Oryctolagus cuniculus: one gene and its partners. The protein of the gene in region 1 interacts with the protein of each later gene in a biochemical or structural test. Links are inferred from orthologs where the notes say so. Each region holds a gene or a part of one and is shown in the gene's direction. Other genes may lie near its edges.

The links.
Region 2: the proteins of SP1 (region 1) and DDX5 form a complex in vitro, tested with the Homo sapiens proteins (2 studies listed by BioGRID). The link is inferred for Oryctolagus cuniculus from reciprocal best matches to the Homo sapiens genes SP1 and DDX5.
Region 3: the proteins of SP1 (region 1) and cyclin-A2 form a complex in vitro, tested with the Homo sapiens proteins (2 studies listed by BioGRID). The link is inferred for Oryctolagus cuniculus from reciprocal best matches to the Homo sapiens genes SP1 and CCNA2.

The regions. Positions count from the first base shown.
Region 1 is NC_091442.1:56,373,476-56,377,774, forward strand, and holds the start of SP1 (transcription factor Sp1), read left to right. Parts: upstream 1-1,490; 5' UTR 1,491-1,905; coding exon 1,906-2,235; intron 2,236-2,560; coding exon 2,561-4,076; intron 4,077-4,299. UniProt on the Homo sapiens protein: Transcription factor that can activate or repress transcription in response to physiological and pathological stimuli.
Region 2 is NC_091448.1:14,226,000-14,229,982, forward strand, and holds the start of DDX5 (probable ATP-dependent RNA helicase DDX5), read left to right. Parts: upstream 1-1,181; 5' UTR 1,182-1,583; intron 1,584-1,874; 5' UTR 1,875-2,009; coding exon 2,010-2,053; intron 2,054-3,165; coding exon 3,166-3,331; intron 3,332-3,561; coding exon 3,562-3,658; intron 3,659-3,754; coding exon 3,755-3,888; intron 3,889-3,983. Other genes in the region: CEP95 (centrosomal protein of 95 kDa), read right to left, coding at 941-1,112. UniProt on the Homo sapiens protein: Involved in the alternative regulation of pre-mRNA splicing; its RNA helicase activity is necessary for increasing tau exon 10 inclusion and occurs in a RBM4-dependent manner. Binds to the tau pre-mRNA in the stem-loop region downstream of exon 10.
Region 3 is NC_091435.1:65,355,123-65,359,170, reverse strand, and holds cyclin-A2, read left to right. Parts: upstream 1-1,508; coding exon 1,509-2,366; 3' UTR 2,367-3,546; downstream 3,547-4,048. UniProt on the Homo sapiens protein: Cyclin which controls both the G1/S and the G2/M transition phases of the cell cycle. Functions through the formation of specific serine/threonine protein kinase holoenzyme complexes with the cyclin-dependent protein kinases CDK1 or CDK2.

The DNA.
Region 1 (4,299 bases):
GGCGTGAGAGGCACTTTTCCCTCCTCCTTATTCCACCCCCATATATGAAAACCAAAACGAGCCCCCGCGGGCGAGGCACAACTACGCGCCGAGTGTCCTGGTTCTGCCACTTGTTGAGCTGCAGGGCTCTGCTGACGCGTACCACCTAATCACCGTAAAGACGTCCCCAGAGGAGGGCCAACATGGCGACGGACTTCTCTTGGCACAGCCCAGTTCCCTCCCTCATGATGGGAGGCCCAAATAACACCCATTGCCCAATTTGGAGGCGGTGCCAGACTCACCTCGCTCCCTCATTGGCCTGAGTAACTGAGGGAGAAGCCAATTCACCTCTGCCCACTCTAAGTTCCCGCCTACAGAGCCCACTCGGAATTTAATTGGTTTTTAGTTCACGTCAATATGCGTCCTCTTCCGTCTCTTTTCAGCATTTACCCAATCATAACTTTCCTGGCTGCCCGCCTGATTTCTGATTGGCTATGATCAGCTTCAGCCCAGCCCATTCCGGGCTATTTCTTACCTCTCCTCCCACCAGGACTTTGCCCAGGCACGTCCCGGATTGTGGTTGGTCATTGATGTGTCATTTCTATCGAAGCTCTTCCTATCGCTACCTCTCAGGGATCCCGCCTGCTGGCTGACTGGCTTATTTCCAAGCCTATCATCTCTAGCGCCCGCCTACCTTCACTTCCTGCATTCTTCATTGGCCTTGAAAATTGAGGGGGCGGCCTTTTTGGGCGGATACCAGGCATTCAACTTTGTCTTACACGCCTCAGGGAGCGAGTGAGTATTGTCATTGGATAGCCTGCCCGCCTTTCTTCTCCAAGTCCCTCCTTTCCCCCTCCCTCATTGGGCGGGGCAGCACTGAAGGGGCGGGGCCCAGGCTGGGCTTGCGGCGCGCTGCTCCCTCCTCCTTACCCCCCCCCTCCCTGTCCGGTCCGGGTTCGCTTGCCTCGTCAGCGTCCGCGTTTTTCCCGGCCCCCCCCAACCCCCCCGGACAGGACCCCCTTGAGCTCGTCCCTCAGCTGCCACCATGAGCGGTAAGGATGAGTCCACTCCACGCTGAGGGGTGGGAGAGGAGTGAGGGGGCGCGCGCGAGGGCAGACCGGGCGGTCCCCGCCGTGAGGGGGGGCGGGCGGGAGGCGGCGGCGGCGGCCTTGGTCCCGCCCGGGGCGGAGGGAAGGGAGGGAGAAGGGGCAGTGGCGGGGCCTCCGAGAAGGAGGGGGATGGGCCGCCCGCCCCGGGGGAGGGGGCAGCGTGGCCTCGCCCGCCCCCTGCCCGCCCCGGCCACGGGGGGGACGGCCTTACCCCCCACAACTCGGCCTCCCGCCTCAGGCTCCTCCCGTCGGGGGGCTGGAGCCGCGGGGGCGGCCCGAGCAGGGCAGGCCCCGCCCGGGCCAACCGCCTCCCTGGTCCGCCCTCCGGTCGCCGCCTGCCCCTAGGCCCTCCTCCCCCCACTTTCCGTAGACCTCCCCTCCCCCCCAGCGTCCCGCCCTTTCCACGCCCCTCACCCCGAAACCGCCCTTTCCCTCCAGGGCCCGCCCTTTCCCCGCCCCGAAACCTTCTGATTGCTCACTCCTGCACCCCTTTATCCCCTTACCTGTGGTCCCCAATGGTTCCCCACTCCCGCTTACCGTTTCTCCTTCCCCCCTTTTCCCCTGTCTCCTCTCGGTGCATTTTGTACTTGGATTTTTTGCCTCCATCGCTCTTGTCCCTAATTTTAGCAAGCTTTCCATCCACCCACATGTTGTTTGGCCTTACCTGTCCTGCTCCTTTCTACCCCCAGGACACGTTTTCTTATTTTGAAACCCTTTGTACGGGCCTGCGTGGCCTATTCCCAGAGCACCTTTTTCTGAGTTTAATTTTTGTGCAAGGAAAACCTGAGGCCAAACTTCGTGGCCGTGAGCCTGGCTCATGACACATGTGCCTTGCAGTTCCCCCCTGCCCCAATGCATTTTCTTTGTACTTCCTGTTAGTCACTGCTGTTTCATCATAGCCTTCTGTAAACTCTCCTGCACTCTATCCACCCCCTCCTCCCCTTCCCCCACGCTAAGTTGTTTTTTCTTTTTCATTCTTTTTTTAGACCAAGATCACTCCATGGATGAAATGACAGCAGTGGTGAAGATTGAAAAGGGAGTTGGTGGCAATAATGGGGGCAATGGCAACGGTGGCGGTGCCTTTTCTCAGGCTCGGAGCAGCAGCACGGGCAGCAGCAGCAGCAGTGGAGGAGGTGGAGGCGGGCAGGTGAGTGACAGCCGGAACTGGGGGCGGGGAGGTGTTGAGAGGATGGTTGTAAATACTCGTAGAAAACTGGCTTACTCTTCCCAGAAGAGTTTTAGGAGAGGATTACATTTTATAGATGGGGAAGCCAGCGCAGAGACTCAAGGAACTTAGATTCGCTAAAGATGGTAGTTTGCAGCAGTACCGATAGGACCTCCTTTCTGTTTTTGGGTTGGTTTTTTCCCCCCCTTTTTAATCTTCATTGTGTTGCTGTTTATTTGTTGTATACTGCCCCCTAGGCTGGTGGCTGGGTGTCACTAACTCCTCTCATCTCCCCCTTTCTGGCCAGGAATCCCAGCCATCCCCTTTGGCTCTGCTGGCAGCAACTTGCAGCAGAATTGAGTCTCCCAATGAGAACAGCAACAACTCCCAGGGCCCCAGCCAGTCAGGGGGCACAGGTGAGCTTGACCTCACCGCCGCACAACTTTCACAGGGTGCCAATGGCTGGCAGATCATCTCCTCCTCCTCTGGGGCTACCCCTACCTCAAAGGAACAGAGTGGCAGCAATACCAATGGCAGCAATGGCAGCGAGTCTTCCAAGAACCGCACCGTCTCTGGTGGGCAATATGTAGTGGCTGCCACCCCCAACTTACAGAACCAGCAAGTTCTGACAGGATTACCTGGAGTGATGCCCAACATTCAGTACCAAGTAATCCCCCAATTCCAGACCGTCGATGGGCAGCAGCTGCAGTTCGCCACCACGGGGGCCCAAGTGCAGCAGGATGGTTCTGGTCAGATACAGATCATACCAGGTGCAAACCAACAGATCATCACAAACCGAGGAAGTGGAGGCAACATCATCGCTGCTATGCCAAACCTGCTTCAACAGGCTGTCCCCCTCCAAGGTCTGGCCAATAATGTGCTCTCAGGACAGACTCAGTATGTGACCAACGTCCCGGTGGCCCTGAACGGGAACATCACCTTGCTACCTGTCAATAGCGTTTCTGCAGCTACCCTGACTCCCAGCTCTCAGGCAGTCACCATCAGCAGCTCGGGGTCCCAGGAGAGTGGCTCACAGCCCGTCACCTCAGGGACGACCACCATCAGTTCCGCCAGTTTGGTGTCATCACAAGCCAGCTCCAGCTCCTTTTTCACCAATGCTAACAGCTACTCCACGACGACTACCACCAGCAACATGGGAATCATGAATTTCACCACCAGCGGATCGTCAGGGACCAACTCTCAAGGTCAGACACCCCAGAGGGTCGGGGGGCTGCAGGGGTCTGATGCGCTGAACATCCAGCAGAACCAGACGTCTGGAGGCTCCCTGCAGGCAAGTCAGCAGAAGGAGGGAGAGCCAAACCAGCAGACACAGCAACAGCCGATTCTGATCCAGCCTCAGCTAGTTCAGGGGGGACAGGCCCTCCAGGCCCTCCAAGCGGCGCCGTTGTCAGGACAGACCTTTACAACCCAGGCCATCTCCCAGGAAACCCTCCAGAACCTCCAGCTGCAGGCTGTTCCAAACTCTGGTCCCATCATCATCCGGACACCAACCGTTGGGCCCAATGGACAGGTCAGTTGGCAGACTCTTCAGCTGCAGAACCTCCAAGTTCAGAACCCACAGGCCCAGACAATCACCTTGGCCCCGATGCAGGGTGTTTCCTTGGGGCAGACCAGCAGCAGCAGCACCACCCTTACACCCATTGCCTCAGCTGCCTCCATCCCTGCCGGCACAGTCACTGTGAATGCTGCTCAACTCTCCTCTATGCCAGGCCTTCAGACCATTAACCTCAGTGCGTTGGGTACGTCAGGAATCCAGGTGCACCAGCTCCCAGGCCTGCCGTTGGCCATAGCAAATGCCCCAGGTGAGTCTTCGAGTCTTTTGGAAGTCTGCATTTATAATGAACTGACTAGCATAGCAGCTGAAACTATGGAGTGGGAAGAAGGGAACAGCACCTTTTGGGCTAACACTTGCCCCAGGGCTGGTCAGTTAGAGAAATAGCAGTGCTTCTTTTGAAATCATGTGGAACTAAATTAACAGAAACTTTTCAGTTAATCTGATGTGAAAGGAGCAATTCTGGGCAATGT
Region 2 (3,983 bases), on another chromosome or scaffold:
TAATTGAAAGTTAAGGAGAGCATCTGTCATAAACAAGACAGCTAGGTAATGAGCATCTGAAGTCACTAGAAACTAATGAGAGCCGCTTCTAATTCCCAGTAGTAATCATCATGTTTTTACCAAATCACCTTGCGCCTGTCGGGATTTCGCCGGCGCCCAAACAGGTGGTGATTAACTCAGCCTGTTAAGAACAGCTTTCCTTTATTCCATCTAATGTACCCGCAGGAACGCACGGGGCAGACATGGAAACACCCCTACACTGCGAACTAGCACGCTACCACGCTCCCCTCCGCCAAATACTGCTGCGATCAGGAAAGCTGCTCGACCAAAAGTCGTTTACCAAGTCTGAATCACTCGTTCCCTGAAATGACTGGCGGTTAATGGGAGAGCATTTTGCTCAGTTCTGGAAACAGAGGGGGGCACTTGGGGTGTGTACCCTCGGCGTACCGCCACGCCCCTCTCTCACAACCGTCCAAGCCATGGCAACTTGTTTGTGTAGACGCTGGAGAAAACGTTGTAGCGTCCCAGACCACGAAATCCATTTCGTGTCTCAAAAAACCGTGGCCGACAAAGCCGGCGACGCCAGAGGGCACCGAAGAGAAGAGAGCAGCCCTGGTCCAACCCTAGCTAGCAAGGGCACAGCGGCTGAAAGTGCTATTCCTCCAAAGGCCGACACAAACGGCCTGCGGGCTCGGCGCCCAGGGCAAGACGACTGCTGCCACAGTCCGTCTCTCCCCGCCCCGACGGCGCGGCTCCGCGGCCGCGAGCGAGCCGGCGGCGGGGCTGACAGACCCTACCCCGGACAACCCCAACGGCGACGGGGCGTCTTGACAGTCACAAGCCTCGCCGGCCCCCGACACCCCGGTGAGACCGGCCCGACGCCTTCGGGCACTTGGGGGGCTTCGGTCCACACACACCGGACCTCCAGGCCGAGACTCACCAGCCCCCGAGTCGGCCATGTCGCGGAGGAAGGGCGGCGCCGCAGTCCGAGGCGCCTCCGACGCGCGGGCGACGGTGTCCGGGAAGGGTCGCACGGCGAGACCCGGAGGTGGGCGGGGCCGGTAGGAACCGAGGCGCCAGGCAGGAGGCTCAGGTCGAAGAGGGAGGGACATTACAACGGCTTCTCGCCGCTGATTGGCCCTCGGAGGACCACTTCCTGTCGCAGCACGCGCCTCGGCGGCGGTTTGCGGACAGCAGCTACCGTTCTCCACGGGCAGGAGACTGCTGAAGGATTCTCGGGTCGGTGGATTCTCGGGCAGTTTAGGTCACCCGGCTGTCCCGGCCGGTCTCCTGGAGGGGGCAGAACTGGACTTCCGGGGAACTACTTTGTTAGGTATTCCTCCGCCGACTCCCGCGGGGGAAAGTAGTGCCGACCCCTCCCCAGACCGGGGGCGGGGCTTGTCACGTGACGAGGCCAGGTTCCGCCTTCCCGTCTTATTTGGTTATGGGTGTGAGGGCTCTGTGGAGACGTAAACATCTCTGAGTGGAGAGAGTGGGCTGGCCTGTCCTGGCCATTTTATGTGCCTGTCGGTCCAGGGAGAAGGCGGGGAGGCTTGCTGGAGGTGTAGAAGGACGAGAAAAAGGTGAAGTCAAGGAAATGCATGCTGAAGCATCCCTGTGGTGGGCGGGCCCGGACACGACTCGGGAGAAAAACGGGCGCCCCGGGAGGGAGCGGCCGCGGGGGCGGCGGGGACCCCAGGGCGGATTCCAGAACGCCGGTGGGCGTTGCGGCCCCCTGCGCGGGGGGCGGGGCGATGAGGTCACAGATCGGCTCCCAGCAGCCTCCGCGGCGGAGGAGGCGGTCCGCACTATAAAACCGGCTGCCGGGACGCGGCCGGCACCTCATTCATTTCCACCGGCCTCTGGTCGTGCAGCTCCGGCTCTCGTCACCGCCGTTCCTCCGCCGCTGCCGCCCCCGCGAGGCTTCGCCGCCGTCGAAGCCTCTTGCAGCGACTCGTCGCACCCGTTTCTCTTAGCTTCGTCCCCCGCCAACCGCAACCATTGACGCCATGTCGGGATACTCGAGCGACCGGGATCGCGGTCGCGATCGAGGGTGAGTCGGGGAGCGGACCCGTCAGGCCCGGAGAGGGGGGATGGGAGGGCGGCGGCGGGCGGCGACGCGGCCTTCGCGGGCTCCTCTCGGGCCTCGGTCGGAGGTTTGCGCCATTTTGGCGTTCGCTTCGAAGTGACCCGAAGAGGCTTGTCGTTTTGGCTGTTCCGAAGCCCGCTTTTTGTCTGGGGGTGGGGAGCGGCCATTTGGCGGCTGTTGGGGGATTTGGCGGAACGCCCTGCGGGGTGAGGAGAGCGCGGCGCTTCGGGGCGGAGCGGGGAGCCGCCGTTAGGTACGGCCTTCGGGGAGGTGTTTTCGGGGCGCCGGGAGTTCTGTGGGAGAGGGGCCGCTCCGAAGCCGTGGGTTCGGTGCGGAGGCAGCGGCCGGCCGGCCGGCGCCCTCGGGATCGGCCATGTGGCTGAGCCGCGAGCACAAAATGCCGGCCTCGGACATGGCGGCGGCGCCTTTGTTACCCCGCCCGGCGGAGGAGCTCAAAATGGCAGCGTCGAGAAAATGTGGCGCAGAGAGAAATGCGAGACAAAGGGGGAAGCGCCGCCCCAGCGGGAACGCCGCCCGGCGACTCCGCCCGGGCCCGGACTCCTCCCCCGGTAGTCACCGGCTCCTCCTTCTCCTTCTCGCGTTATATAATTTTGCTACCTTGATCGGGAGCTCTTCCGCCGGGTTCCCCCACCTCGATTGGTTTCCCGGCGTGCCTTGGAGAAACACCTTCCCTGTGCCGCTCTCCCTGCTGTGGCTGCCTCGTTACCGTTCGTGTTTAACACGGAAGCGCCTCTGCTCGAACACAGTCGTTAGAGTAGCATCGCTGTTTTAGGCACCACCCTTCTCGTATAGGCCGGCTCCCGGCTGCTGCATTCCCTAGCTCGGAGACTGTAGTAGCCGCAGACTTGTCTGTCCTTGTATGCTTGAAATCCTGCAGTTTGGTCAGCCCGTTTCTGAGCTTATCGATCGCGGGCCGTGTACTTGGCCTCGATAGTTGCGGCTGTGGGAAGTGATGCTGTTGACTGCTCTCAGGGATAATTACTGGAGCTGATGAGTGCTAAAATCTGTCCAACGCCAAATACAGACGTGAAGAAATGTAACATTCTTAATTTCAGGTTTGGTGCGCCTCGATTTGGAGGAAGTAGGGCAGGGCCTCTATCTGGAAAGAAATTTGGAAACCCTGGAGAGAAACTAGTTAAAAAGAAGTGGAATCTTGATGAGCTGCCCAAATTTGAGAAGAATTTTTATCAAGAACATCCTGATTTGGCTAGACGCACAGCCGTGAGTAATTTCATGTGGCTTTGATCATCATTCAGTATTACCTGAGTAATACTAAGCTAGGAAATCAAAATCTAACAAGTGTCTTGGCGGACATTTCAATTTGGGGAGTTCTTTTTGGCTTGGGGAGGAGGTGGCTTTGAATTTTCACCTGTAGGTTCAGAGTTTGCTAGCTGTGTTTGCTTAGGGGACTCTGTCAAGAGTTACTAAAGTGGTTATGATTTGTTTTGCAGCAAGAGGTGGAGACATACAGAAGAAGCAAGGAAGTTACAGTTAGAGGTCACAATTGCCCAAAGCCAGTTCTGAATTTCTATGAAGCAAACTTTCCTGGTAAGTGCTGGTTTTCAGTCAGCTTACCACCCTTCTCCCCCTGTTGCCTCCTTTCTGTTGGCATTACAAGTGTTTACTAAAATGCTGTAATTACAGCAAACGTCATGGACGTGATTGCAAGGCAGAACTTTACTGAACCCACTGCTATTCAAGCTCAGGGATGGCCAGTTGCTCTAAGTGGATTAGATATGGTTGGAGTAGCTCAGACCGGATCTGGGAAAACATTGTCTGTAAGTTTGGGAGAACTCTGAGTTGCTGGGTGATCCATGCTAGAGGAAATGGAATGGGAATAAAAAAGCCAGAGTATCTTAATAGTGTCTCTGCT
Region 3 (4,048 bases), on another chromosome or scaffold:
TCAGCAGATACTAGACTTGCCCATGTGCTCCCCTTGACTCTCAGTCCTTTCATTATGATCAATTGTGAACTGAAATTGATCACCTGGAATAGCGAGATGGCATTGGCACATGCCACCTTGATGGGATTGAATTGGAATCCCCTGGTATGACATGGAGATTTTGAGGTGCCCCTCTCCTTCCCTGCTGGATGGATGTCCGAGAAGACCAAATACAGAGTTACGACTTCAGCTAATCTTAAAAGTAACAAGGCAAACCATCCCCTGAAAGTGTCAGAGAAGCCACATGGGGATCAGTAATGAGGCAATTCTTCCACATCCAGCCTGAGTAGTATTAGTAGGTACATAGTGGAGAGTCTTGTCTTCTACTACTGCCCCACACTTATAAAGAGTACCCCTTCCCCAGTGTCAATGGAGGCCAAGCTGCTGATAATAAGATGATGTCCTTTCCCCATTGGAGTAGCGTCATAGGATCCTGCCATATCAAATATTTAAATGAGATCAAATGTCTCACAATATTAATCACTAATATATCAAGAATTTAATTTTAATAATCACTTATGTTAAAAGGAAAACTAGGCTATTCTCAATTAGAGTGAGAAAACATGATCTAAAGATGTTGACACTCAGGGTTGTCTAACAAGGATTTTGTAGACTCTACAATAAAAATACTTCCACAATAATCATGAATATACTTGGAACAAATATAAAAAACATAAAGTTTTAGCCAAAGAAAAGAATATATAAAGAAGAAAATATATTTTGAAATAAAATATTCAATAACTAATATTTTGAAAACTCCATGAATGGGCTCAACAGTGGAATGGGAGAGAAAGAGGAAGCAATAGTGAATTGGATTTTTTTTTGCCCTCCGCGCCCGGCAGCGTTTGCCTGCGCCTCTCGCAACCTCCTCGATCCTGCGCGTTCCGGAGACAGGGGAGCGAGCGGGAGGGCTGGCAGACTGGCCCGGGCTGCGGCGAGGGGCTACGGCTGGAGCGTTCCTGGGCGGGATCGGCGCCGCTGGTCGACTGGGCGGAGTGTGCACGCTGCTTGGCTCGGCAGACTGATCCCGCCGCCAGCTCCCTGGAGCAACGATGTTGGGCCACAACGTGCCGAAGCCCGCGGCCGGCGAGGCGGGCTCGGCGCTCCTAGAGGACCAGGAGAACATCAACCCCGAGAAGGCGGTGCACGCCCAGCAGCCGCGGGCCCAGGCTGCTCTGGTGGTACTGAAGGCTGGGAACTCCCGGGGTCCAGTTCCACAACAGAGGCCCACGACGCGACGGGTTGCACCTCTTAAGGATCTTCCTATAAATGATGAGCAGGTCTCTGTTCCTCCTTGGAAAGCAAACAGTAAACAGCCTGCATTCACCATTCATGTGGATGAAGCAGAAGAGGAGCCTCCCAAGAGGCCCACGGAATCTAAAAAAGACAAGCCTGAAGATGTCCTGGCTTTTAATTCAGCCATCACTTTACCTGGACAAAGAAAACCACTGGTACCTCTTGATTAGCCAATGGATGGTAGTTTCGAGTCACCATATACTATGGACATGTCAATTGTATTAGAAGATGAAAAGCCAGTGAGTGTTAATGAAGTCCCAGACTACCATGAGGATATTCACACATATCTTAGGGAAATGGAGGTTAAATGTAAACCTAAAGTGGGTTACATGAAGAAACAGCCTGACATCACTAACAGTATGAGGGCTATCCTCGTGGACTGGTTAGTTGAAGTAGGAGAGGAATATAAACTACAGAATGAGACTCTGCATTTGGCGGTGAACTACATCGATAGGTTTCTTTCTTCAATGTCTGTGTTGAGAGGAAAGCTTCAGCTTGTGGGCACTGCTGCTATGCTGCTAGCCTCAAAATTTGAAGAAATATACCCACCAGAAGTAGCAGAGTTTGTATACATTACAGATGATACCTATACAAAGAAACAAGTTCTGAGAATGGAGCATCTAGTTTTGAAAGTCCTTGCTTTTGACTTAGCTGCACCAACGGTAAATCAGTTTCTTACCCAATACTTTCTACATCAGCAGCCTGCAAACTGCAAAGTCGAAAGTTTAGCAATGTTTTTGGGAGAATTAAGTTTGATAGATGCTGACCCATACCTAAAGTATCTGCCATCAGTTATTGCTGGAGCAGCATTTCATTTAGCACTCTACACAGTCACGGGACAAAGCTGGCCTGAATCATTAGTACGAAAGACTGGATACACTCTGGAGACTCTTAAGCCTTGTCTCATGGACCTTCACCAGACCTACCTCAAAGCACCACAGCATGCACAACAATCAATAAGAGAAAAGTACAAAAATTCAAAGTATCATGGTGTTTCCCTCCTCAACCCACCAGAGACACTAAATGTCTAACAGTGAAAGACTGCATTTGTTTCTAAGATGTAAATCACTCAAAGTATATTGTGTACAGTTTTTATCTTGGGTTTTGAATGTTACAATCATTTCTGAATACAGAAGTTATGGACAAGAACAAATTATGGTATCTATTACTTTTTAAATGGTTTTAATTTGTATATCTTTTGTACATGTATCTATCATAGATATTTGGCTAATTTTAAGTGGTTTTGTTAAAAGTATTAATGATGCCAGCTGTCAGGATATTAAGAATTAATAAATTGATTTGGAAAATTTTATAAGTCAAATTTAATTTGAGATAAAAACCTGACTTCAAGATTTCTTAGAAAAGTTACCTGGCTTATACAGTACAGTGGGGAGTGGAAAGCCACTCTCTAAAAAGTTGACTTTAGGAAAACAGACCCTCAATGTTCTAATATCCATTTTCCTAAGCAACTGGATCAGTCTGCCGATTTCTGCACAATAAATCTGTGCTTATTTACCAGTACGATGAAAATCATTCTTCTTTGTACACACACAGCAGCCTATCAGATTATTTTATTCCTCATCAATTTTTACACTTTACACATACACAGGTTGGGGAATAAGGCTTTGAGATGACAAAATTTTCAGAGAAAAAGCTCTAGAACATTCACTTTAATGTTAAAAAAATAAAACTTAGGGATTTGTGAATAAATGATACCCAGGTTGTTAGCACTGAATAAATACATCTAATAGTTATATATACAAATATACAACTATGTTAGCTTTAATTAGCAGCTCTCTTCTTTTTTCTCTTTTTCATTGGCTTTTTACTTGGTGCTTTTTCTTGTTTCCCAATGGTGGTCTGTGTTCTGCGGATAAAGTAAAATAAATTAACAGTTCACTTAATTATGCTTAAGTTTTGGATCACTGAAATAGGAGGTCTTTTATTTTTTTGCACTAGGGTACAAAATGTGACAGCAGGAAAAGTAAATACAGTAACCCTGAAAGGTATCCAAAAATAGTTTAATAGAGAGTTAGGTGCTAATTTTTATTAATTACAGGGTGAAAAAAACACATAATAGCTGATGAAAAAGGGATGTCTGTGTATAACAGTTCTGTAAGATGAGAGTCAAACCAGAGAGCAAGCCTCAAACTCTTAAGTTACATGTACATGTTTGAAATAAACCAAAAACTTGTTACCTTAAAAAAAAAATAGTGAATTGGAAAACAAATCAATAGAAAAATTACCTACATGGAACTAGCATTGTGGCACAACATATTAAGCGACAACTTACAATGCTAGCATCTCATATCAAAGTGTAGGTTCAAGTTCCAGCTGCTGTTCTTCCAATCCAGCTCCCTGTTAATGTTCCTAGGAATGCAGTGGATGATGACCCAAGGACTTAGGTACCTGCCACCCATTGGAAAACATGATGAATTCCTGGCTCCTGGCTTTGCCCTAGCCCAACTCTGAATATTTTGACCATTTGATGAATAAACTAGTGGATGAAAGATCCCTATATATATTTCTTGCTCTTGCTGTGTGTGTGGGTGTGTGTGTGTGTGTAGATCTGAGAGAGAGAGAGACACAGAGAGAGGGAGACTCACTCTCTCTGTCACTCTGCCAATAGAATAAATAAATGAATAAATATTTTAGGAAAAAAAAGAACCAATTTTAACAAAAATATAAAAGAAAAAATAATAGGAAAATTTGA